2 linked regions of the Struthio camelus genome follow. The protein of the gene in region 1 purifies or fractionates together with the protein of each later gene. This does not show direct contact. Links are inferred from orthologs where the notes say so. Each region holds a gene or a part of one and is shown on either strand. Other genes may lie near its edges.

Region 1 (10,779 bases):
CTGTGAGTCCCTGTGTGATGCCCTGGTACCTACTGCTGTACAGAAAGCACTGACTTCAGTAGTTTGCCTTAAAGGGTGCTTTGTGAAGGGCAGCTGAGTTTTGTTGGTCAACAGATATTAAAACTGCCTTGTTAGTGAAGTGTATGAAATCCACTAAAGAGGATGTACAGCTTTTGCTAAAGTCTGCTAAAGAATTAAGTTGTTGTATAGCCTTTTATGCGTTAATCAGAAAATGCATTTCTCAGAAAATGTTCTCTTTAAACTTCTTCACCTGTGCTAATCTGCTCTTGAATGCAAATTAAAATTCTATGTAGAGTTTTTCACTAAGTAAATAAAACTATGCAAAATATGTAGAATACATCAGGGAAATAGCAATTTATGTTCTGAGTTAAAAAAAAAAAATAAATTCTTGAAATGGAAAAAATAGAGGTAGCTAGCAACTAGAAATGGAAAGGCTTCTGGTCCTTCCTAAATTTAGACTAGTAGATTGCAGCCTTGCAAAGCAGTTTTATTCATGAATTGAAAAAGGAAAAGAAATTTTTTGGACTCTCAATTCCTAAACCATTTTTCAGATATGACTAAACTGGATAGAATACTTATGTGAATAAATTATTTCTTTAAATCCTCTGGAGAGCTGGTTCAGTAGTCCAACAAATTCATTCATGTTTGTTTGTTATTTTTCTAGCAGCTTAGTGGTTTGAATTTCCTTAAAATTTCAGTGACTAAGCCTGTTCTGAATACAGTTGTTCTTATATTTCAGTGTTTAAGTCAGGCCTGATGTCCTTCTTTATCAATTTCTTTCAAAAGTTTTTAATGAAGGAAAAACCTTAAACTCACATAAGGATATCTGATTTGTGTATCTAAAATGCATATTTCCATAAGAAACTAATTTTCCCAATAATGCCAAGTCTTGCTTAAAATGCCAGTTTAGAATTCCTTTTGCAGTTGGAGCATTCCTATGTTTTTTGCCTGTCTCGCTCTCCCACTGTATCTGGCTACCTGCTTTCATGGTAGCCAGAAAGCTGGAAGGCTTTTAATTATCTATCATATTGTGTTTTTGCTAAATCTACATGAAATCAGCTAGAAGGTTAAAATCTACTGATGTAAATGTGGAGTTTACATAGAGATATGAACATGGTACTGTGGCATAAAGGCTTTACTTCTGTTAAAAATTAGATTTGAGGTTTCCAGACAAACTTATCTTAAAATCCATTTATTTGCCTTCTACAGATTTGAGAGCACTTTAGCATCTTCTTGGGGTGCCTTCCTCTTTCTCCAATTGATACTAACAAGCATCATGAGGTTTCTAAGTGGTTTTACTATACCTCTTGATGCCTCCAAAGAAGAAATGTACCCACAAGGCCAGGAAAGCAGAGCTGGTATTCCTTGAGAGGCCGCAAGAGGGACCTATCCATTCCTATGAATCTCCACTACCTTTGGCTGAGAATCCAAGACGTGTTCCTACCAAACCTATAGACCAAAACACCTCTCCTGCCTGGGTTGGTATAGATTATCTTTCCCTTTGTGTCCTGCCAAAATGGTTTTCAAGATTCTCTTGCATATCTCAAAAAAAAAAAAAAAAAAAAAAAAAAAAAAAGGCAAGCTATCTGTCCCAGATACTGAAAATCAATAGCAAGGACCTGCATTCATTATAGTTGTCCAAAACATAAATAAGTGCTTTTTGAGTTGCTTCATGTTCTTGTCACAAACAACCAGTGATGTCTTGGTTATTTGAAAGCATAAAACTGTACAGTGTATACCGATCAACTATTACTAATTGTCTTCCAAAAGACTAACTTTCATGAGAATACTTTCTGCTTTATATGGCAACTGAAAATCCTGAACATGATAAAACATTATTCCAAGGTGCTGTTCCCCTCCACCTCCTTCTAACTGCTTGACATAATTCCTGACCTCTAAATGTTAGATGTTAAAGTACTAGGCTTTTCATTTAAATCAGGCTTAAGTATTCTGGTGCTATGCTAAATTTAGAACAAATAATCCTGGAGTGCAGGTCTGCGTTCCCTAACTTGTCGTCTTTTTCCATTCTGTGTGTTTTGAACAGTTTCTCTCCAAACAAGCCATTCTAATGGGTTCCTTTTCTGGTTTGACAGAATATTCCAGGGATTGCTTGCACCGTCCTAATACACGCTTTATATTATATTGTGTAATGTGAAGAGTTTTAAGCAAACAGCTGCTGCAAAAATGGACACTGTTCCCATGCAACAACAGCTATAGCTTTGGGCAGCTCTATTATTGTTACTTGGATCTCTAAGCTCTATACAAAGCAGCTCCAAGAAGCATGGTTTCAAACCCATGAGAGACATTCCTCTGGCCCTGGGGACCTAGAATTATTTTTGTGGTGTCTTAACTTCAGAGCAGAACATGTTCAGTTTTTTCCTTTTTAATTTTATTTCTACATATATAAACATATGTGGTGAAGATGATTCACTCACTCACTCTTAGTACTTCAATTCTAAATGTACAATGATTCTAAAATGTATTTGAAGCCAACAGCACCGAAACTACTAGATGTTATTCCATTTGAGAATGCTGGTAGGTTTGCAACTTCCTGAAGCATCCTCTGCAGATCTTCTTTGAACTTGTCTCAGTGGCAACTGAGATTTTCTGCTCATCTGGAGGGTATATTAAGACTTTCATAAGCTTTTGACTGCTAGGCTCCTCTCCTGGTAAAACATAACTTGCATGTTCTCTAAGCCAGGAAGTCACATCTCAAGGTTAGTAGCTCATTAGTGTTCTTGTAAGTTGTGTGCCAGGATATAATTATCTGGGGATCATTACTCTATTCTGCTACGCAATGACTTTGCACTCAAGCAGTACAGAAGTACAATAGACAATCACAACCCTTAATATAAATTACACAGTAGCACTTAGTTTTTGAGAGATTGCAGTAACTTCAACATACTGAAAGGGTACTCTAGTTGTGGTAGCTAGATTCTAGGCTATTCTGAGCTCCACGTCCTCTAGGGGAAAGCAGAGTGCAGAACGCTGAACCTGACCCTTTCTGTTGAGACCTAGGAAGATAAAAGAATACTTTAAGAGAAGGGTTTCCAGCTTTTGGGTAATAGTCTGGAATCTTTCACAGAAATTTAGATTGTTGAGCTTTGACTGTCTTCTATAAAACACTGATGCTGGATGCCCACTTGGTTTCTTCACCTTAGGTTACGTTAATAAAGCTTTCAAAATACTCCCCCAAAACATCTTTACTTCATAAAATGTAGTTAATCTCTGTATTCTAGAGTAACACATCATCAGAAAGCCACAGATAACTGCAGTCATTTCATACTTCTAAGTGGGCATCCTTTACTTGAAATGATCTTACACATATGGATGTCTGTTGAACCTGAACCTGTTTAGGGAGACTGGGCTGTAATTTGTTGAATTTATTCAGGGTTATGCTAATACAGAAAGAAACAGGATCCAGCTCCAAACTGTTCTAAATCTGCAAGGGTTAAAGGAGTAGATGTCAATTAGACTACTTATTAAATACACAAGACTTGGGATTTAAGTTATAGGCAGCAGCTCACTTAAACCACACTCTCCTCTTAGAGAAGAGTGGCAGAACATAGTTTCAAAGTTCAACAGGGTCCCCTGTTTACCAACTTGATCAATGACTGATTTTTTTTTTTTTTTCTTTGCTGCAGACCTGATTACCCACTTAATGAAAACACGGAAGAAAGATGGAAGGGGGGGAAGTAGAATGGGGTTGGCATTCCTTTGTCTGGAGAAAAGGTTGGCATTCCTTTGTCTGAAGAAAATTAATCTTTCATCTGTCTTGCCCTTTAGGTGTGCCCACAGTTTGAAACATCTGACCTAGGAAGCTTGAAAGGATGTCAGAAGAAACATGGTGGTCCTCACAGAGCCCAGAATCGGGATGCCAACCACAGTTCACTTCATGCAGGAGGTGCTTGTCGAAAAGCTATAGCCTGCAAGTTTCCTCCTTTAACTTTTGAGACTTCAGAAGGACATGCAGTCCACTCCTCAGATTGTCTGGATCATCCAAGGAAGAACACACAACTCTCTCATAGGCAGCCCAAGAAAAGGACAGCAGCAAAAGCCAACATCCAAGTGGATAATCCTAAAAACTGTAGAGAAATATCTTCATTAGCTGTGTCTCAGCCTGTAGAACCAGAAGTCTCTAGTTCCTCAGATATACAGATTCCACATCTGCCTTCTCTGAGGAACTGGAGATGCAGCAGCACTTTGCCACAAACTAGTAGCCATGCCTGGACTGCACATGAAACGTTGGCACCCAGTATTGATACCCCTGGGAGGGGGGACTCAGCAGCAGTACTGGTTACAGACACTCCAGAGCATGAGTATGGAGTAAAGGTAACTTGGAGACAGCGGCCTCATATAATGAAATACCTGAGGGAGAGAGGAAGGCTGAGTGCTGGTGACATAGTTGTGAAGATGAATCAGTCCTGACCTCTCTAAGAGAGGCCAAGGTGACTTCAGACTTGGTGGGAGTAATAATTTAGTTATGTGCAAAGACAAATGTAAATAGAAAATGGTATTTTCAAGGACAGACAAAGCTGGTAACTTAAGCAAAAACCCATACTATGGTTTGCTGGCCCTACTGAGAAACGCTCTTAGGATGTGAGTTTTTTCTGTTGTGATTTTTTTTAAAATTTTTTTTTGGCTAGATTTCCTTTGAGAATGGGATGCCTCCATAGCAGCTTTCTAGTCTACATACCTTCTTGCAAAAGCTGCTTTCTGCACCCAGGGGTGATGATGTGCAGAAGGGCCCAGTACCCAATTGCGACAGGAGAAGCGACAACAGAGTGTTCTGAGGCCACGAGGGAGGTGCAGGGCAGGATTAATGCTGTTCCCCGTGAGGCCGCCGCCACAGCGGCGCCATTCTTCCCTCCCAGCGCTCCCGTACCAGCGCTGCCAACGGAAGGCGCCGCCCCGCCGCACTCAGCCCCCGGAACGGCGGCGAGGGCGGGGCCCAGCCCGGCTGCCGCGCTCCGGGGAGGGAGTGAGCGGCGCCTCGCACTACGCATGTGCGGTTCTCCCTCCCATCCGAGAGGCGCCACGGCCAATGGGCGGGCCGAGTGCTGCGCCTTCGGCCAATGGCGGTGGGCTTCAGTGCCGAGTTCCGTTGCCAATGGTAGCGGCCGGGGCTGGGCGCGAGCCACCGGGGTCCCATAGCAACGGTGGGGCCGAGGATGGAGCGCGCGAGGGGCCGCGGCGCACCCGGCGGGGGCAGGTGAGCTAGGCCCTGGTGGGCGGGAGAGCGAGCGAGCGAGCGAGGGAGGGATGAGGTGGGCGGGCGGCGCGGGAGCCCGGCCGGGGGCGGCGGCTCGGGACGGCGCCGCGGGTCGCCGGACGCTTCCCAGTTCGGACCGGCCATCGCGCGCGAGGGCGGCGAGATCTGCCCGGAGCAGAAGTGGCGGGCACACGGCAGGCACGCGGAGTCTCTTGCGGTTCGGGGTGCTCCGCTTCGTAGTCGCTTCAGGAGTGGTTCCTGCGGCTACGGAGTACTTTGTTGCCGTGTTGTTTAGCATCTGCCGCGGGGCCTGAGGATAGTGATACGGTATAGCGTTTGCGTTGCCGTAACCATACCGAGGTAAAAGCTATTGGCAATTGTAAATGGTGAAAGGCACTTAGAGTAGCCTAGTGCCTTGCTAGAATAGCCTTAAGTACCTGCCTGCTAGTGTAACTGTACTCACACTGGGTGTTGTGGAAGTGTTAGCACAATAAAATTCACTTTCAGCTAACACAAACTGTAATAAAACCTGGCTGTATTTTATGTACCTCGCTATCCTATACAGGTTATGAATCATCTAAATACTTGTAGATTAAATGGGTTTTGTGGAGTCTTGATCTGCTTTGCTTGTTTCTAGTTGTTGCTGTGAAGCATTTTTGCAGTGTTACTCTGCGCTTCTGTTCCTGTACTGTTTACAGGTATACAGTAGCTCTGTGTGCGCTATTGTAAGGGAAAGGAGGGAACAGCTGAGGGGATCTTAACCGATATGATAGGAAAAACAGAACTGTAAGGTTCAGAGAAGAGCATTTGGAAGGGGATTATTCTTATGGTGTTTGAATAGCTCAAGAACAAAATTATCTGACAGGTAAATGTGAGGCTAAGGGCAGGCAGTGAAAACAGATTTTGGCAGAATTAAAATGATTCCTGAAGTGAGAATCTCTCTGTACAAACAAAGAGGAAAATCTGTCTTATGCCTGTAGTGCTTGGATGGGGGAAAAGCAGGAACTTGAAGAAATTTTAAACAGCTAAACTACGATAAATATGGAGTAGAACAGTGTATTTATTTGTGAGATACACTTGTAAATTTTATTTGGAAGGGTGAAAAGAGGCAATAGAGTTAGTATGAACTGCATAATCTTCTAGGGCCACCAAATACCCTGTGACACATTAGAAGACTTATTTCTGCAGACTGTAAAGACTGAAGTCTGTGTAGCAATTCTGGAAACAATTTTAACAGAGCGATGAGCAGATGCTGATAAATTTCATTGCATAGATATCTTAGACTTTAATGTTTGAGAGAGCTGAAGGCAGAGGATATGTTCTTTTCTTTTCTAATAGCAACTGTAACAGTATAATTTCTTTCTCCTAAGAAACTGTTTTTGCTTACTTTTATGGCAACCTCATAAAAATAGCCTAACAGCAGTGCCAATTCATGTTATGACTACTTCCCACCCCCCCCCCCCAAATTTATTAAACAAACAGTCCCCTTCCTCAACTTTCTTAGTCTCCATGGTAAGGTAGGAAAACTAGAATATGTGAGCCAAAATAAAGATATGTAGGCCTTAAATATCTATTAAAAATCTCTTATTCTGAGGAGTGACCTGACTCAGAATGTTCAGCAGTACTAGAATATATTGCAGGAAGGCAAAAGATTGTATCCTTCCTAAGAAGAAAGGAATAAAGTTATCCAGAAATTGTTAATTTACTAGTTAGAACTCTTCATTGGTAAAGTAATTGTTGCTTGTCTAAACAGTGATTTGTGTAGGAAAAAGTAAATATGGTGTGTAATAACTGGACAGTTAATAGCCATCAAGATATTACATGTGACCTTATAGAAGAAAGACTCTGAAGAATTAAAAAAAAAAAAAAAAGTATTTTAAGCTATATGTTAGAATCAGCTGGCCTACATTTGTAGCTTTTTTTCTGAAGTGAAATACTTTAATTCTAGAGCTGTATGTTAAAACTTAAAGTAGGAAATAAAGAATACTTTATTCCTGGTGGACGGTGGTGAAGGCAGTAAGCAGAAAATAAAAGCCTGTAGTTTTGTAAATGTGCCGTGGGATACTTGATGATGATTAAGCACCTTGGATCTTGGCTTTAGGCATCACCTGAAAGGTGTTGTCCCTTAAAACCGTGGTATTGTGTTAACTTGCGGCTTGTCTGCCAGTGCTACCTTCCATTTAAGATGGCCATAATTGAAAATGTTTGAGTTCATTTTAAAGTTTGATTGGCTTGCAGTTAGACATAGCACAACTGTCTTAATGCTTTAGAAAATGCTAAGATTCATAGTGCTGTTTCATGATTTTGCCAAGTGATAAACCTTCCTTCTTTGTTTGTGAAAGTCCATGCTGAGGCTTAACATGAAATGAAAAATAGTTTATGTTCAATAACATAGAATGAGTTTATCTGAATGTTTCTAAAAACCTTGTAGTATTTTAAAATATTAAGACAGGAATTTGGATTATGGTAGTATGTATCTGAGAATCTTGGTAGACTGATGGACTTCACCTTTTTGCACAGTACTTATGCAGTATAAAGCAATATTTCAAGCTTCCCACAGGCTGTCTTCCAAATATGCTTCAGCTTCTGACTTGAGAGTGTTAGGTATAAAGAACATCATTTTATGGAAACTACAAAACATAGGCGCTAGCTAAAATGGTGGCTTCCATAACTGGGATGCTCCTTCAGTGACCACGCATGCATGAGTTAGTAGTGTTCAGTTTGTGAACTCAGGAGCTCTAGGATATCTCCTCAATGTCTACATAAGTTAATGAAGAAAAGGACCTACTGGTCAGTTAGTTCCATTTGAAAATGGTTAGGAGTCCATGGACTTAAAAAGGTTCAAAAATCATTTCATATATTGATGCTCAGCCAAAAACCCTTGCCATGTTTGAAAAACCTTAGCATTGCTGAGGGGATATCAAGAATCTTGGTCTGCTAGGGTTGACTGTTTTGCACAGGTGCACCTAAACTATTATTGGCAGGGGAGGAGAAAAAAAGAACAACTGATTTGCTAATGAGTTTAGCTATACTTGTAATCCAGATGAGATCAATTTCCTTTTAAAAGTCTGTCAACATCTCTGTTAGTCTTTGAGGTATTTTTATTTGGATATGAATGACTTTTTTCAGTTAACAAGAACTATTTTGTAAATTCCAGAATGTATAATTCTGCAAATCTTATCCTTAGATAAAAGGAGAACTGGCTTACTATCTCATTTGTCCCATCCCTTTCAAGTCTGAACAATATCACCAAGAAATCTGTCCAAACTGAGATGGATTTGTAAACGTTTACAAATGTGGTTTAGCTGTGCTCCTAGGAGTACATTTTAGAAATAATAGAAAATGTTTTGTGGCTGAAATTTGATGCCACTGTAGTCAGAGTGAATGAAGAAGGAATCACTTCATTTCCCTGTGATGTAGACAACACTGGCAAGAGAGAGGAAGTAGCAGCAGAACTGTATACCAGTCACTAAAATTTCCAGGTACATCTTGAAATGCAATTGCTAACTGTAATTGTTGAAACAGTGAACGAGTCTTCTTAAAGTTGAAGGTTACTTGAATAGTTCTTCTGCCATCCTCCCCCTACCCTCTAATATTTTACTGATGACCCATTTGCTGATCACTGATGACCCATCTTTATAGAGACAACCACTATTTTTCTCTGCTCCAACAGCTGCTTAAAAAAAAATGCAGATATGGCATGTAGAAGGGACAAGTGCCCTGGTTACAAGAGAATTATGACTCTGTGTGTGTGTGCGTGCGTGTGTGAAAACTTTTTGCAACAGATTCACACTGGGATACCTCTAGGCTCTTGTTTTGTCACTAGGGCACAGTAGAATCGTTGACTGTGTTGTAGTTGGATCATGGAATACTCTTGTAAGTGCATTTGCTGATATGCCCAAATCTGTTGTCTTAGACTGCCACAAGAATATTTATCCTTACCCCTAGTGTTGTTTAAAATATGTTCTGTATATTGAACTTTAACATCTTATGATACTGTTATATAAGTCTGTGTTGTCATGCATGTTAACCTGCGCTCCTTTCCCATTTAATGTTTCTTATGAGAAATTTCAGGTTAAAATAAAAGTTGAAATCTAGCAGCTAAATTTTGCTTAGTCAGCTAGTTTGAGGTGGAAACTAGTTCCTAGCAGAGAATAGACTAGCAATTGCTTTGTATTTCACTGGTTTCGTGGTGTAATGGGGTACGATGTCGGCAAAAGTGACAGAGACAAGGTTTAATAATTCACAAAGTGGCAATCAGAGGAGTCAAGATTCTAAGCCCCTGGTGGATCTTGCTCTTCTCTTTCCCTAGTCTATTTCATAATACCTTTATGTTACCTGGCATAGAGCAGCTTCTGTAAATGAACAGCCTTTGGAATTTGGATCATATAGTTGAGATGACTAAATAGAAAGCTGGTATTCTGCTTATGCATTAAAGGTGTCCTTTATTTTCCCTATCTGAAACCCAAGTTTTAGCTGGATTTAAACAAAAAATGAATACTTGTTTTTGGAAGCATAGCATTCTGCAGTTGTGTTGGTGGTTCAGAGCTGAGAAGACCTTCCTCAAGTTACACCATGGATTTGTATCTTCCCTGTCAATTCCAGGATCATTGGGAATCATCAGCTATGAACTCTCAAATGAGTGTACCTGCCAGGTATTTTCTTTGTCCTCTCCTCCTACAAATATATATAATAAAAAAAACAATTTTTGATGCTCAGTCTCAGTGTAGTTTGTTGAGATTAATTCCTCCAGATTTTATTTTCCTCTTGTTCTGTTTGACTACACAGTTGAACATAAGTGAACATGTATGTTCCTGTTCTTATTGTTGTCTCCCTCTGTGCCTCCTTCCCAACCTACCTGATGGCTTTAATGGTTAATGGCTTGTGTTGATTTCTGGCTTCCTTCCAGGAAAACAATATTCCTTTCACTTTAGATATGCTGCATTGACCTACTTAAGCCTTTTTTGGCTAAGAAAATAAAAGGATCTACCTTCTATTCTTCTACCGTAGTACAGTAGAGAATGGCACGGGCTTTTGTTTGCACTCTTCTTTATCTTCCAGATAACAAGATTTGCTAGCTTCTGTCCAGAGAGTGCTGCTTTATTTTCATTGCTTCATTCTGTAATTACAAGTAACAGGAGCTAATCTTTGGTACCCGGTAAGTCTGTTTTGAATGGCATACAAAAAACTGACCAGTACATCAGCTTAAACAGCTCTGAATTCATATTTTAACCTTTTTGTGCCACTTATGCTCCTATTGAATTTTCTTGTAACACTTGTATTCTTTATTGGCATCTAGCTCCCTCTTTCACACCTGGGTCTAAACCATTTTCATTTATCTTGTAATCTCCAGAACTGAAACAGACACTATCAGTCCATATCTGAAAAAGGGTTGAGATAGGATATGCTTTATTCTTTATCTTACCATTATTCAACTTCTTGCATAGACCCTTCTTTTCTCAATGTTCTGTTACGTTACTAGCAGGTTCCTGATTAGTGTGTATGACAATCTGCTGCAACATTAGACTTTTCTGTTTCACGGTGTG
Region 2 (10,779 bases), on another chromosome or scaffold:
AGATCACGTTGATTCTGCTAGTAAGAAAACTCCCTGGATGGACACACAGAGGAATGTCTAATATTTGGATAACCAAACTTCTGAGTCATGGGAAGCACTAGGTTTGACTCAAGGCATGTTACAAATCAGGGAAGGATGTTTAGTATGTACAGAATACAACGCTAAATCAAAGACGGAAGCTAAAATGAAAGGAGGCCGCTCATGGGCTTGGATGCCGTTTCAAAAATTGCAAATAGACTTCACAGACATGCACCCAAAAGAAGGGCAGAAACATCTGCTAGTCAAAGTTGACCAATTATCCTGTTGAGTGGAAGCATTCCTAGTCCGGAAGGCTACAGACCAAGAGGTAGTAAAAGCCTTATTGAAAGATATCATACCATGCTTTGGGGTACTGGAGGAAAGAGATTCTAATAAAGGAACTCATTTTACTGCTGAAATACTAAAAGCAATATATGAAACATTAGGAATTCCAAGAAGACTACATACACCTTATCTTCCCCTATCTTCAGGGCAGGTAGAAAGAATGAATCATACACTAAAAATGAAGTTAGCTAAAATTTGTGGGGAGACTCAGTTAAAGTGGACAGAAGCATTGCCATTAGCGTTATGGGAACAAAGACAACATCCGGGCCCAAGCCATGGTTTGATCCCATTTGAAATTTTGTTTGGTAGACCAGATAGAATCTCAGGGACTTTTGTCCCAGCACATACAAGACTTTTCGCAGGAGATGAAGCTGTTATCCAGTATGGAATGTATCTACAGAATAGTTTTAAAAACAAAAGATATGAAGCTGTAATTATCCAACCTCTGCCTTTAGGAGATTACCTTCATCCGGTATTGACCAGGTGATTATGTTATGGTAAAAACTCATAAAGCCAAAAAACGTGCAACAACCAAAACGGGAAGACCTCATACAAGTGTTATTATGCACTTATCCTGCTCGTAAGGTTGCAGGTAAAGAAACTTGGATTCATTGCTTGGATTCATCGCTCCCAAGTGAAGGCGGCTCTAAACACAGCGACCTCCTTGGAGGACGTTCCAGTTCCTTGAGCATCCACTGAAGAGAAGAGAATACCTGTGCAATGGCAGGAAAATCTATTCAAGGAAAACTGTGTTCATCTGTTACACTATGTAATTATTTTCTGCTGTGTGTTTAAATGTGATTTTTAAGTTATTTCTGTTTTTTATAACTATTACAGGATTAACCCTAGGCTGGGAAAATAATTGCGTTACACAATTCATGAGTAGGGTCTCTCAAGTAGGGAATGGGTTAGACTGTTGGTATTGCCTATTCCACCCTCAATCCCTGGACACCGATTTTGGTTGGCTAGCAGAGCTTGTTTCCGGTTTAGCCTAGTATCAGTCGAATTTGACGTGTTTACTCCCTAGGGTTCCAGATTTTCAGCAGCAAACCTTTAAGGTACATTCATATGATAAAGCTCCATGGTATGTTAACGTGCCTCAGATGAACCTTTTGATTTAAGTAGGAGATAAAACTAACTGTAATTACACACTATGGTATAATTATACACAAACAAGGTTTCAGTTGGACTGTTCAAGTGCCGGCAATAATTCTGACGTAAAAACTTCATGGACTTATAAGAATAACTCAGTAATTTTAAATGACACTGAGCTAGAGAAACTGTGCACTTGGAACCTTACTTGGAGCATAAACGGTACAAACTGTCAAAGATATTATAATATTTCTTCTTCAAATGGCACATACATCTTGGGGACTAATGGTTGGTTTAGTTCTGATAAGAGCAATTGGACCATGTGCATTTGGAACTAAAGTAGCTGGTGTATAGGTGCAAACCCTTTTCGAATAATCTATTTAGGCAAATGGGAATTATCAAAATGTAAAAATACCACTGAGACTGATATTACCTCCTGCCCTACTAGGCACAGAAACAAGATTATCCCAGCAGGGAAACCTTCTATTTTGACATCTGGATGGTTCTGGCTATGTGGGACCAACGTCTACAAAAGTTTACCACCACAACGGGCCAGCACTTGTACCATGGGATGCCTAGCCCCTATGCCGATCGAGCAAAAAAAAATAACACTAAGCTTTTTGCACAATCACTATCCAATATATAGAAAAAGGGACACTTCTAACCCTATAGTGAAAAGACCTAAAAATGCCATCAATTCATGCATGTGCTGTTTCCAGGTCTAGGTGCGGTCGAGTTAGAAAAGGCTATTGTCAATATCTCTGTTACCCTTGAAATCATTTAAAACAGTACTGTAGAAGCCTTAAAAGATCTATAAAAAGAACTGAACTCTCTCTCTCAATTAGCTGTCCAAAATCAATGGGGTTTAGATTACATATTGGCCACACAGGAAGGAGTGTGTGTGCTGGTTGTTTTTATGTAAACAAATCAATACAAATTGAATATGATGTAAATGTTATTCAATAACATATACATACCTTCCATCAGGTAGCCCAAGAAGAGCTGTTGCTTAATGGCCTAGCAACAGACTGGTCATGGTTGTGGTCATGGCTACCAGATTTGGGAGTGTGGACATGACCTGTTTTAATAGTTTTGCTGTTAATTCTGGCAGTAGGAACTGTGCTTCTCTGTTGTGTCTACTGTATGGATCAAATATATTCAACCCGCTTCTCATATGAAAGGGGATATAAGTATAGACCAGCATAACATTTAAAGCAGGTATGCATGAAATAAAATGAGGGAGTGTTAAGGAATTTTCCACTATACTCTAGTTTTGCGGAAAGAACATGCAAGGTCATGCGCCCTGCAAGCAGAACATCTTATCTGACCTTGTCTTAGCCCTATTTTTTGTACAAAGTTGAAGAACCGCAAAGAAACTGGTTTAATCCAGCCGGTGGTACAGAAGTTGTTCAAAGGTAACACCAGAAGAGATGCAAAATCAGCTAATGAATAATAATAAGATAAACCATTTAAGGCTGCTGTGGAACTACCTCATACTGTAACATGGCAGCGGGATTGGTAGAACTAAGAGGCATGGATAGCTTTTATTGGTTGGGTAAATAAAGTATCGAATATGTAACAATTTACCTCAGCTTATAAGATGTAACAAAGAACTGCTCAGTGTCCTTCTTGTGCTCCCAGCTGAGAGGGACCTTGTTGCTAGCAATAAAAATTAGCAATCAAGAAATCTGACTCCTGCTGCTCATTACCAGTGCCTGTGAATGAAAAAGAGAATAGATAATATTTTATCATGGGGCATACTAATGCAGAGAACCATTATCAAAAAGAACTAAACTTCATTTTTTGGAGGATATTTGTTAATTTATTATGTTCAAAAAATTTCTAAATTAGCACTAGCCATCATATTCAGTTCTGAGATTCTTACAGGAGTTCAACCAGCTTTGCTTTATAGTTTTTTTTTTTTTTTAGATATGTGCTTCTAAACTGACATTAATTACTAAATTGGATGCTCAGTGCTGCTTACTTTTACATGTCTATGTACCTTAAGTAAAATGACGTGATGATAACCACCGGCTGGTTCTACTTCTTTACATTTGCAGATAGCCTCTTGGAGAAGAGCCAGTATGGCAATAAACTTGGTGAGATGCAGATTTAATTACTTGACTTTGTCATGATTCTCCTGTGTGACACGGAACTTTTATTTCAGTGTTTGTATTGTGGATAACTGCACTGTGAAGTATGAAAATGAAGGTCATATTCTGAGAGACATGATGGTCTATTCCTATTTTATTAAGTAGACAAGTTGGCACAGCACGATACAGAAGACAGGACACGCTGTCTTGTGTAAGTATGTCTCCCATGTTCGTCTTTTGAGTTGATCAGCTATAAGACAGCTTTGGTACGGATAATATTAATTTAGCAGCTGGGCCCAAGCTAATTTGCCTTCTGGGCTCAGTGTTGCAGAGTTAGGTTACCCCTGAAGCCCTTAGTATCCACTTGTGCAGACATGATTCCAGATTTAATCCTCCCACCTTACTCCCTGCACTAATGAGCGTCTAAAAATTGTATAATAGCATTCATTGGCTCAAACAGCAAAAAATCAGATCTCCTTCTTCCTAGGGGTTTGCTTACTCTTTCCAGACCATTGAATCTGTGTATTCACAATCTCAGTACGCGGGTAACTAACTGACCAGATCTACACGTGGTAAATGGAGGCTGTGAGGGCACAACACTGGCTTGCGAAGGAGCAAGAACGGCGTGAAACACCTGCTGCCTTGCCGACGTCAATCAGGTTACCTCAGCTAAGCGAAGACTGTGGTAACGCTGAGGGTGCACTGGAAAAGCACAGGACCCCGCCTCCGCTGCCCGGTTTGCGGGGGGCGCAAAGGCCGAGGGCTCACGGCCGGGCTCGCTCAGCGCCAGGCCGCGCCGCCCCAACGGCGCCTAACGGCTCCCCAACGGCTCCCGCGCGCCCCTCACCAGCCCGCCGGGCGGGACAGGGCGGGGCCAGGGTTGGCCCCGCCCCCCCGGCGAGGGTGCGCTCGCCGCTGCCTGGCGCTAATCCTGTCTTTCTTCTCCCGCTGCCCGGAAGTGAGGGAGGGAGCTTCCGGCGGCGGTTACTAGGGCAACCCGGTTGCCAGGGCAACGCGCTGGGCCTGCTGCCGCTGCCTCCGCCGCCACTGCCGCCGCTCTGAGGGAGAACCGCCGGGCCTTCCCCTTCCCGTCCGCGCTCACGGCGGGGCCTCCCGCTGCTCCGCCGGCCCTGCGCGATGTTCATCTACCTGAGCAAGAAGGTGCTGACGGGGGGCCGGGGGGCGTCGCGGGGGCCGGTGGAGCTCCCGCCGGGCGCTGCGGGGAGCCGCAGGGCTCGGCGCGGCCTGCGGGCGCTGGCGGGGCCGGGCCCGCTGCCGCCGGCCCCCGCCTCGGCCTGGCTCGCTCTCTCGGCTTCTGGGCTCTCGGTGGCCTTCTGCCGTCCCCTGAGAAACTGCCCCCCGGGCGCCGACCACGCGTGCGGAGACTCCGGACGCGGCTCTTCTGCGAGGGACCAGCTCGTGGCAAAGCCTGGCTTGGCAGTTTCTTCCCTCTCGCCTAACTCTTCTGCTCGGGACCCCTTCTCTGCATACGTTTAGAAATGCCCTCTTACTATTGTTTATTGCATATCTCGCATTTCCCTTTTCTGGAGCTTTGTGTTGCATCGTTTCGTTTGTGTTTATAATTGTAATCCTCTTCTGTCATTTTTTTGACTGTACTGATCTGTCAGCGTTAGAGATAAGTTTGTTGTTGCGTGTGCTGTCTTAGGTGTTTTTGAGGTGTTTTTGATTAGGGCATTTTAAATAAAACATGATTCTTACGGCTACGCAGAGATGTAAAATATTTTTTTTTCAGATTGCAATTCCTGGTAATGTTCGATTAAGATGTATTTCCTGGAATAAGGATCAAGGTTTCATAGCTTGTGGTGGAGAAGATGGGTTACTGAAAGTTTTGAAGTTAGAAGCGCAAACAGGTAAATGAGATTTTTGAAACAAAATCCACCACTTTGCAAAATTCTGAAAGTGCAGCTCTTTTCAGAAGTGACTTTACAGCACTGTATGTTTTGCATCTTTAGAGAGATGCTTGTGCATTTACATAAACAGCAAATATGCTATCACTTTCTTGTGAACATTGTTTTCCTTCAACTTGCCCTACATGTCGCTTGGCAAGCTTTTATATCTACTGAGGTCATCTTTGCTACATCTTCATGGCATTATGTTTCATTTTTGTTCTCTTCAGCATTTATTTTGGAGCTTATTTCATGATATCATGATTGTGTTTGAATGTTCTCTACTGTCTGCATTTAATTTAGAGAGAAATTTGTCTATTTTAGGAATATATTTGAAGAAAAGTGAAGTCTAATATATTTTCAAGTTTTTTTAACCTTTTATGAAAGTAAGCAAAGGGTGATGGCTATTATGATACTCTAAAAAGAGTATCTGAGTTTGGATGACAGATGTGATTAGCAAACATGTCTAGCTGAGAGATGGAAAATTCGTGCTGCAATTACACTTTTACATACTTTTAGGTGAATAGTTTTATTAATGTAAATAGTAGTTTTTAGCCACGCTATTGATACAGACACACTAATGTGTATCTTTAATTATATTAAAACTATTTTTTGTTATTTTTAGATGAAGCAAAACTAAAGGGACTTGCAGCTCCTAGCAATCTTTCTGTGAATCAGACTCTTGAAGGTCATAGTGGTAAGTCTCTTTGGGCATTTAATGTACTTTTGATTAACATAAAAATAGAAAAAGATTTCATGGCATTGATAGAGTAATTTTGTTATAACTTTTTGTTGTAAGGCTGAAATAAAGAGTATCAGTGGTAAAATCAGGTGTGTTACAGCTTGGCTATCTCCTGTTACAAAGTTACCTAATTAAAAGATCTGCAGTCAATTTTTCATGACCTGTGAGTGAATTACTGGGTTGAGAATTAAACTGATCCAGACTTTTGCTCTACTCACGGCCGCTGTGGAGCGCACGATGCAGAATGCGTGCTGCACAACCAGGCTGCACTCTACCAGTTGCTGTTTAAGGTTTGCAGTCTGCTTATGAGTTTTTCTAGATAAGTCTGCTAAATTTGACGTTATAGCCTAATCTGTGTTTTCTATTACTTCTGGTTCGACTTTTTCCAAATCATTTTGTCTCCATTCATTATCCTGAAAATGAAGTATTGATTTAGTGTTGAAGTAGCTGATGCGATCATATTTACCTGTTATCAGCGAGTGACTTTTTAATTTTTTTTTCTTTTTTTTTAAGTCTTGCACTGTTGACTGCTACCATACTTGTTCTCTGACTTCAGTTCGATTAATCTGGAGGTGCTCATCAGTTGGGCTGATTATATTTTTATGTATTTACACATTCATGTTATGTTTGCTCACATACTATCTTGGTAGTTGGTAGATAAACAGTGCTTTACAGCAGAAGATAAGGGCTAGATTGTATGCTGGGCAGCTTGTGCTGGGTGAAATGAATGGCTGGAAGTGAAGACATGAAAGAGTATAGTGCTTGAACAGAGACCAGTTTGTATCTAGTACTGAACAGATGTTACAAGATGATTATTAGAAAAATTGAAGAGGATATTTCAAGTCCAGTATTTGAGTTTTTATGAGTTGGATCACATATCAGACCTGAGGGTCTGAAGAAACAGGGTGTAGAGTGCTCTTTTTGGTAATAAGGAGGGAGATTTTGTTTTAGAATTGCTGCAGTATTGATGATCAAGCTGTAAAAAAAGAAAAAAAAAAAAATCAGCTTCCTATGAGAGGAAGGTCTTGTCAGCTTTGCAGCCAGCACGCTTGAGATGGTCAGAAAGAGCAAAACTATAATTTGGGTTTTCTGTTCAGAAGCAATATTCTGGGTAGAATTGGAAGAGGATGTTACTCAAGTGGGTGAATACATGACCAAAAGAAACAGCTTAGTAGAAGCCTGAAAGAGGAAACAAGAGTGGTACAGAAAGAAGAGTGGCTAAAACTGAATCAAAGTCAGCAGGGCGAATTTCTGTAAAACCCAAAAAACTGAGCAGGGTGACTAAGTTGTATGTGATTGTATTAACTTGTTTGTTAAGTAGAAAAAACACAATTTATAAATTTTTCTAGGTTCTGTGCAAGTGGTGACATGGAATGAACAGTATCAAAAACTAACAACCAGTGATCAAAATGGGCTCATCATTGTGTGGATGCTGTATAAAGGTATTATATAGGACAAACTTGAAACTGGATAATGTTCTGGATAACGGAAATGTATTGTGAGAAATTTTTTTTAGCAGTTTTAACAACTCTTTCTCAGATTGTAAAACTCAAAATAAATCTAAAAGGTGTTCTAAGTTCTTGTTAAGATAACTGGCTAAATTTTTTCATAAAATATTCGTCCTCCAGAGATACCTTAAGAAAAGATGTCAATTCTTAGGCATGTGCATTGTAAACCACCACAAATTTTTCATTTTCGTATCTTTGCTGCTTTATTTCCTTGGAGGAAGGTAAGGTACAGAACAATAAAAAGAAGCAGCGCTTCATTGTGTAAGTTTGGTTTTGTGCATTATTGTACAATTTTAGTAGTTCTGCTGTGGGCATCAAACACAGACATATTGATAGAATTACTAGAACTTACGAATTCTGCTTAGACCAACAATCAAATACTTTCATAAATACAATCTTTAGAAATGTTTAATTAAGGCAGTGAACTCATACGCATAACCAATATGTTGCAGTGACTGACGCTTTTTTCTTGACATTTGCATGAACACATGTACTTTGCTACATTTAAACAAATTTAAAAGCCAGCAATCAGTCTCAGTCTAATTAACCACTTTCCAATGCAAACGGGGAAGATGAGGAACATTTGTGATTTTTATCTTGGGGACTTTTATTTTATATATATATATATATGTGTGTATATATGTATATATATAAAAATGCATAAATGGAAACAAGTGAAATGCCAGCTCATTTCCTCATTTCAGGCATAAAATATCATTTGATTAGTCTTTTTACCTGCAATTTGGCTGCTGTTACATGAAGCATCACCTTTAGTGATTATGTTTCTAGTGTGTTTTGTCAGTTTTAAAGTTATCTAAGCTGCAGATCTCTTTCTGAAGGGCCTGTCTCTCAGGCCTTGGCTCCCCTCTGTGATTTCCAGTTTGTCATTTTCTTTTTGGAAGTAGCACATATCTAAACACTGGATTTCAAGATGATAATGTGTGCATAGTCTGAAGGACACTATAGTATAGTCTTGCTAGAGTGTTACGGAAAGGGCAATACAACTTCCTCTTTCAGTTCTTTTTTCACAACCTTTCCTTTTTTGTTGTATATTACATTGTGAAGTCATGTATAACACATTATCTCATGTTTATTTATCAACAGACGTTTCACAGGTTACTCCATTTCAATGAATACCTAATTTGATTTCTTGATAGTTTTTATAAGCTTTTTGGGGTCTGTGGTATGTTTTATTTAAAAAAAAAAAAACTTTTGGAATTTATTATTTATAAATTTTATTATTGTATTTGCATAATTTTTGAACTGAGAATATCTTTGCTCTTTGAAATCAGTGATTAGCATATATCTAGAATTCGTTTAAAGAGTTATCAATTCAAAAGTATAACCCAGTTTTTCATTCTCTACTAATAGGTGCTTGGTATGAAGAGATGATTAACAATAGAAATAAATCTGTTGTTCGAAGTATGAGCTGGAATGCAGACGGACAAAAGATTTGCATTGTATATGAAGATGGAGCTGTGATTGTTGGATCAGTGGATGGTAAAGTTTAAGCTCTATTACCTATTATTGTGTTTTGTAGTTTTATGTAGCTTTTGTTTTCAGTATTATTTACTTTAGAAAAACAGAGCTACAATGTACCTGTAATTAACAGTTGCTTTATAAATTGTTACTTTGACTTTCTTTAGCTGTTTTAATCTTTATGTTGGTAATTTACATCCTATTTTTAAACTTATAGTATGTTTATTAAGTACAATGAACATTCTGTTACAGGCAATCGTATTTGGGGGAAAGATCTGAAAGGTACGCACCTATGCCATGTGACCTGGTCTGCTGACAGCAAAGTTTTACTCTTCGGAATGGCAAATGGAGAAATTCATATTTATGACAATCAGGGGAATTTTATTGTAAGTTCGTGGTCTGTATAGTAAAAGTATTAACTTTCATAAGCATAAAAAATTTATTTATTTTTATTCTTTGTTCATTTATTTGTTTGGTGGACTTCAGTACTGAGAACTGGACAAGGTCTGGTACATGAAGTTTTTATTCAAGATTTAAGCAGCTGCACCTTTTTTCGTACAAATTTTCAGTAAAATTGCAAACGCTTGTCTGTCTTGTTAGCTAAATGACTATTACTTCAATTAATGCATTTTTGCTTTGCAGTTGTTGTTGGAAAGGAAAAAACATGTATGGTGGTCCTGGCCAAATTAATTGAAGCTCCTGTTAAAAGTATTAGTGTATGTCTAGAATAAAGTGGTAGTCTATTTTCTTGTTGCTCCTGTTATTATTTATTAAGTAGGGAATATTGTATGCCTCAGAGAAAGCCTAGCAGTGTTTGCTGAAAATGAAAGAGAATAACTATAATGTTGCTACATTCCTACAAGTTCTGTTTATTTACTTATTTTGCACTCCTAGTTGTTTGGAATACTGGAATAACTATAACAAAATGCTACACAAAAATAAAACATTGACTTTCAAAAGAATAACAGATTTAGAACGACACTCCGCATCTTATATCCCTATTATTGTATATTTCCTTCCTTTCTTTTTCCCTCCTTAAGAGTGAAAAATCTGATATACTTTCAATATTCTTTTCTTTAACCCCACACTGTTTCCCTCCCTCCTGCTGTGTAAGTCATGATATTTCTAGCATTTGCTGCAAATTACTTAGATTCCTTAAATAAGCTGTCGTCTTTTTTTTTCCTGCCCTCGTTTCCCAATAATATAAGCTCTCTCATTATCATACGTTACCTGGTATTCCTCCTGGAAATGACTCAGGTACACTCTTTTCTTTCAGAAAATGCTCTTACTGATGCTACCAGATGTAAAGAGCTAGTTCTTAGGAAAGTAAACTTACCTTAATGGGTGTTCTGGTTTGGATGATTGTAGTCCCAATTACTTTTATACATTACTTGAATAGACTTATTTGAAAAATCTTGAGGCCAGAAATGTTTTGAAATTAAAGTTGTTTTCCTTTCTGTTGTTTTGTAAAGCTCAAGTGTAGGTTTCTTTGTGTGCTTTTTTTCCCCTAGAGTTACTTTAAATGATCTTGCATTTCAGAGAATAAAAAAAATGCCAACATTAAAATACTTTTTTGAAATTGAAACATATGTTTT

Evidence for each region. Proteins that work in one complex are often made in the same cells at the same time.
Region 2: the proteins of TULP3 (region 1) and WDR35 purify together in Homo sapiens (affinity purification with mass spectrometry; 5 studies listed by BioGRID and IntAct, counting the BioPlex papers as one, with this or other methods). This does not show direct contact. The link is inferred for Struthio camelus from reciprocal best matches to the Homo sapiens genes TULP3 and WDR35.

Annotation. Positions count from the first base shown.
Region 1 is NC_090942.1:88,353,046-88,363,824, reverse strand, and holds the start of TULP3 (tubby-related protein 3), read left to right. Parts: upstream 1-4,843; coding exon 4,844-5,233; intron 5,234-5,298; exon of another isoform or gene 5,299-5,593; intron 5,594-9,838; coding exon 9,839-9,888; intron 9,889-10,294; exon of another isoform or gene 10,295-10,391; intron 10,392-10,779. Other genes in the region: RHNO1 (RAD9, HUS1, RAD1-interacting nuclear orphan protein 1), read left to right, coding at 1,332-1,499, 3,808-4,449. UniProt on the Homo sapiens protein: Negative regulator of the Shh signaling transduction pathway: recruited to primary cilia via association with the IFT complex A (IFT-A) and is required for recruitment of G protein-coupled receptor GPR161 to cilia, a promoter of PKA-dependent basal repression machinery in Shh signaling.
Region 2 is NC_090944.1:18,655,764-18,666,542, forward strand, and holds the start of WDR35 (WD repeat-containing protein 35), read left to right. Parts: upstream 1-4,534; 5' UTR 4,535-4,685; coding exon 4,686-4,709; intron 4,710-5,301; coding exon 5,302-5,419; intron 5,420-6,080; coding exon 6,081-6,152; intron 6,153-7,546; coding exon 7,547-7,639; intron 7,640-9,076; coding exon 9,077-9,205; intron 9,206-9,436; coding exon 9,437-9,570; intron 9,571-10,779. UniProt on the Homo sapiens protein: As a component of the IFT complex A (IFT-A), a complex required for retrograde ciliary transport and entry into cilia of G protein-coupled receptors (GPCRs), it is involved in ciliogenesis and ciliary protein trafficking.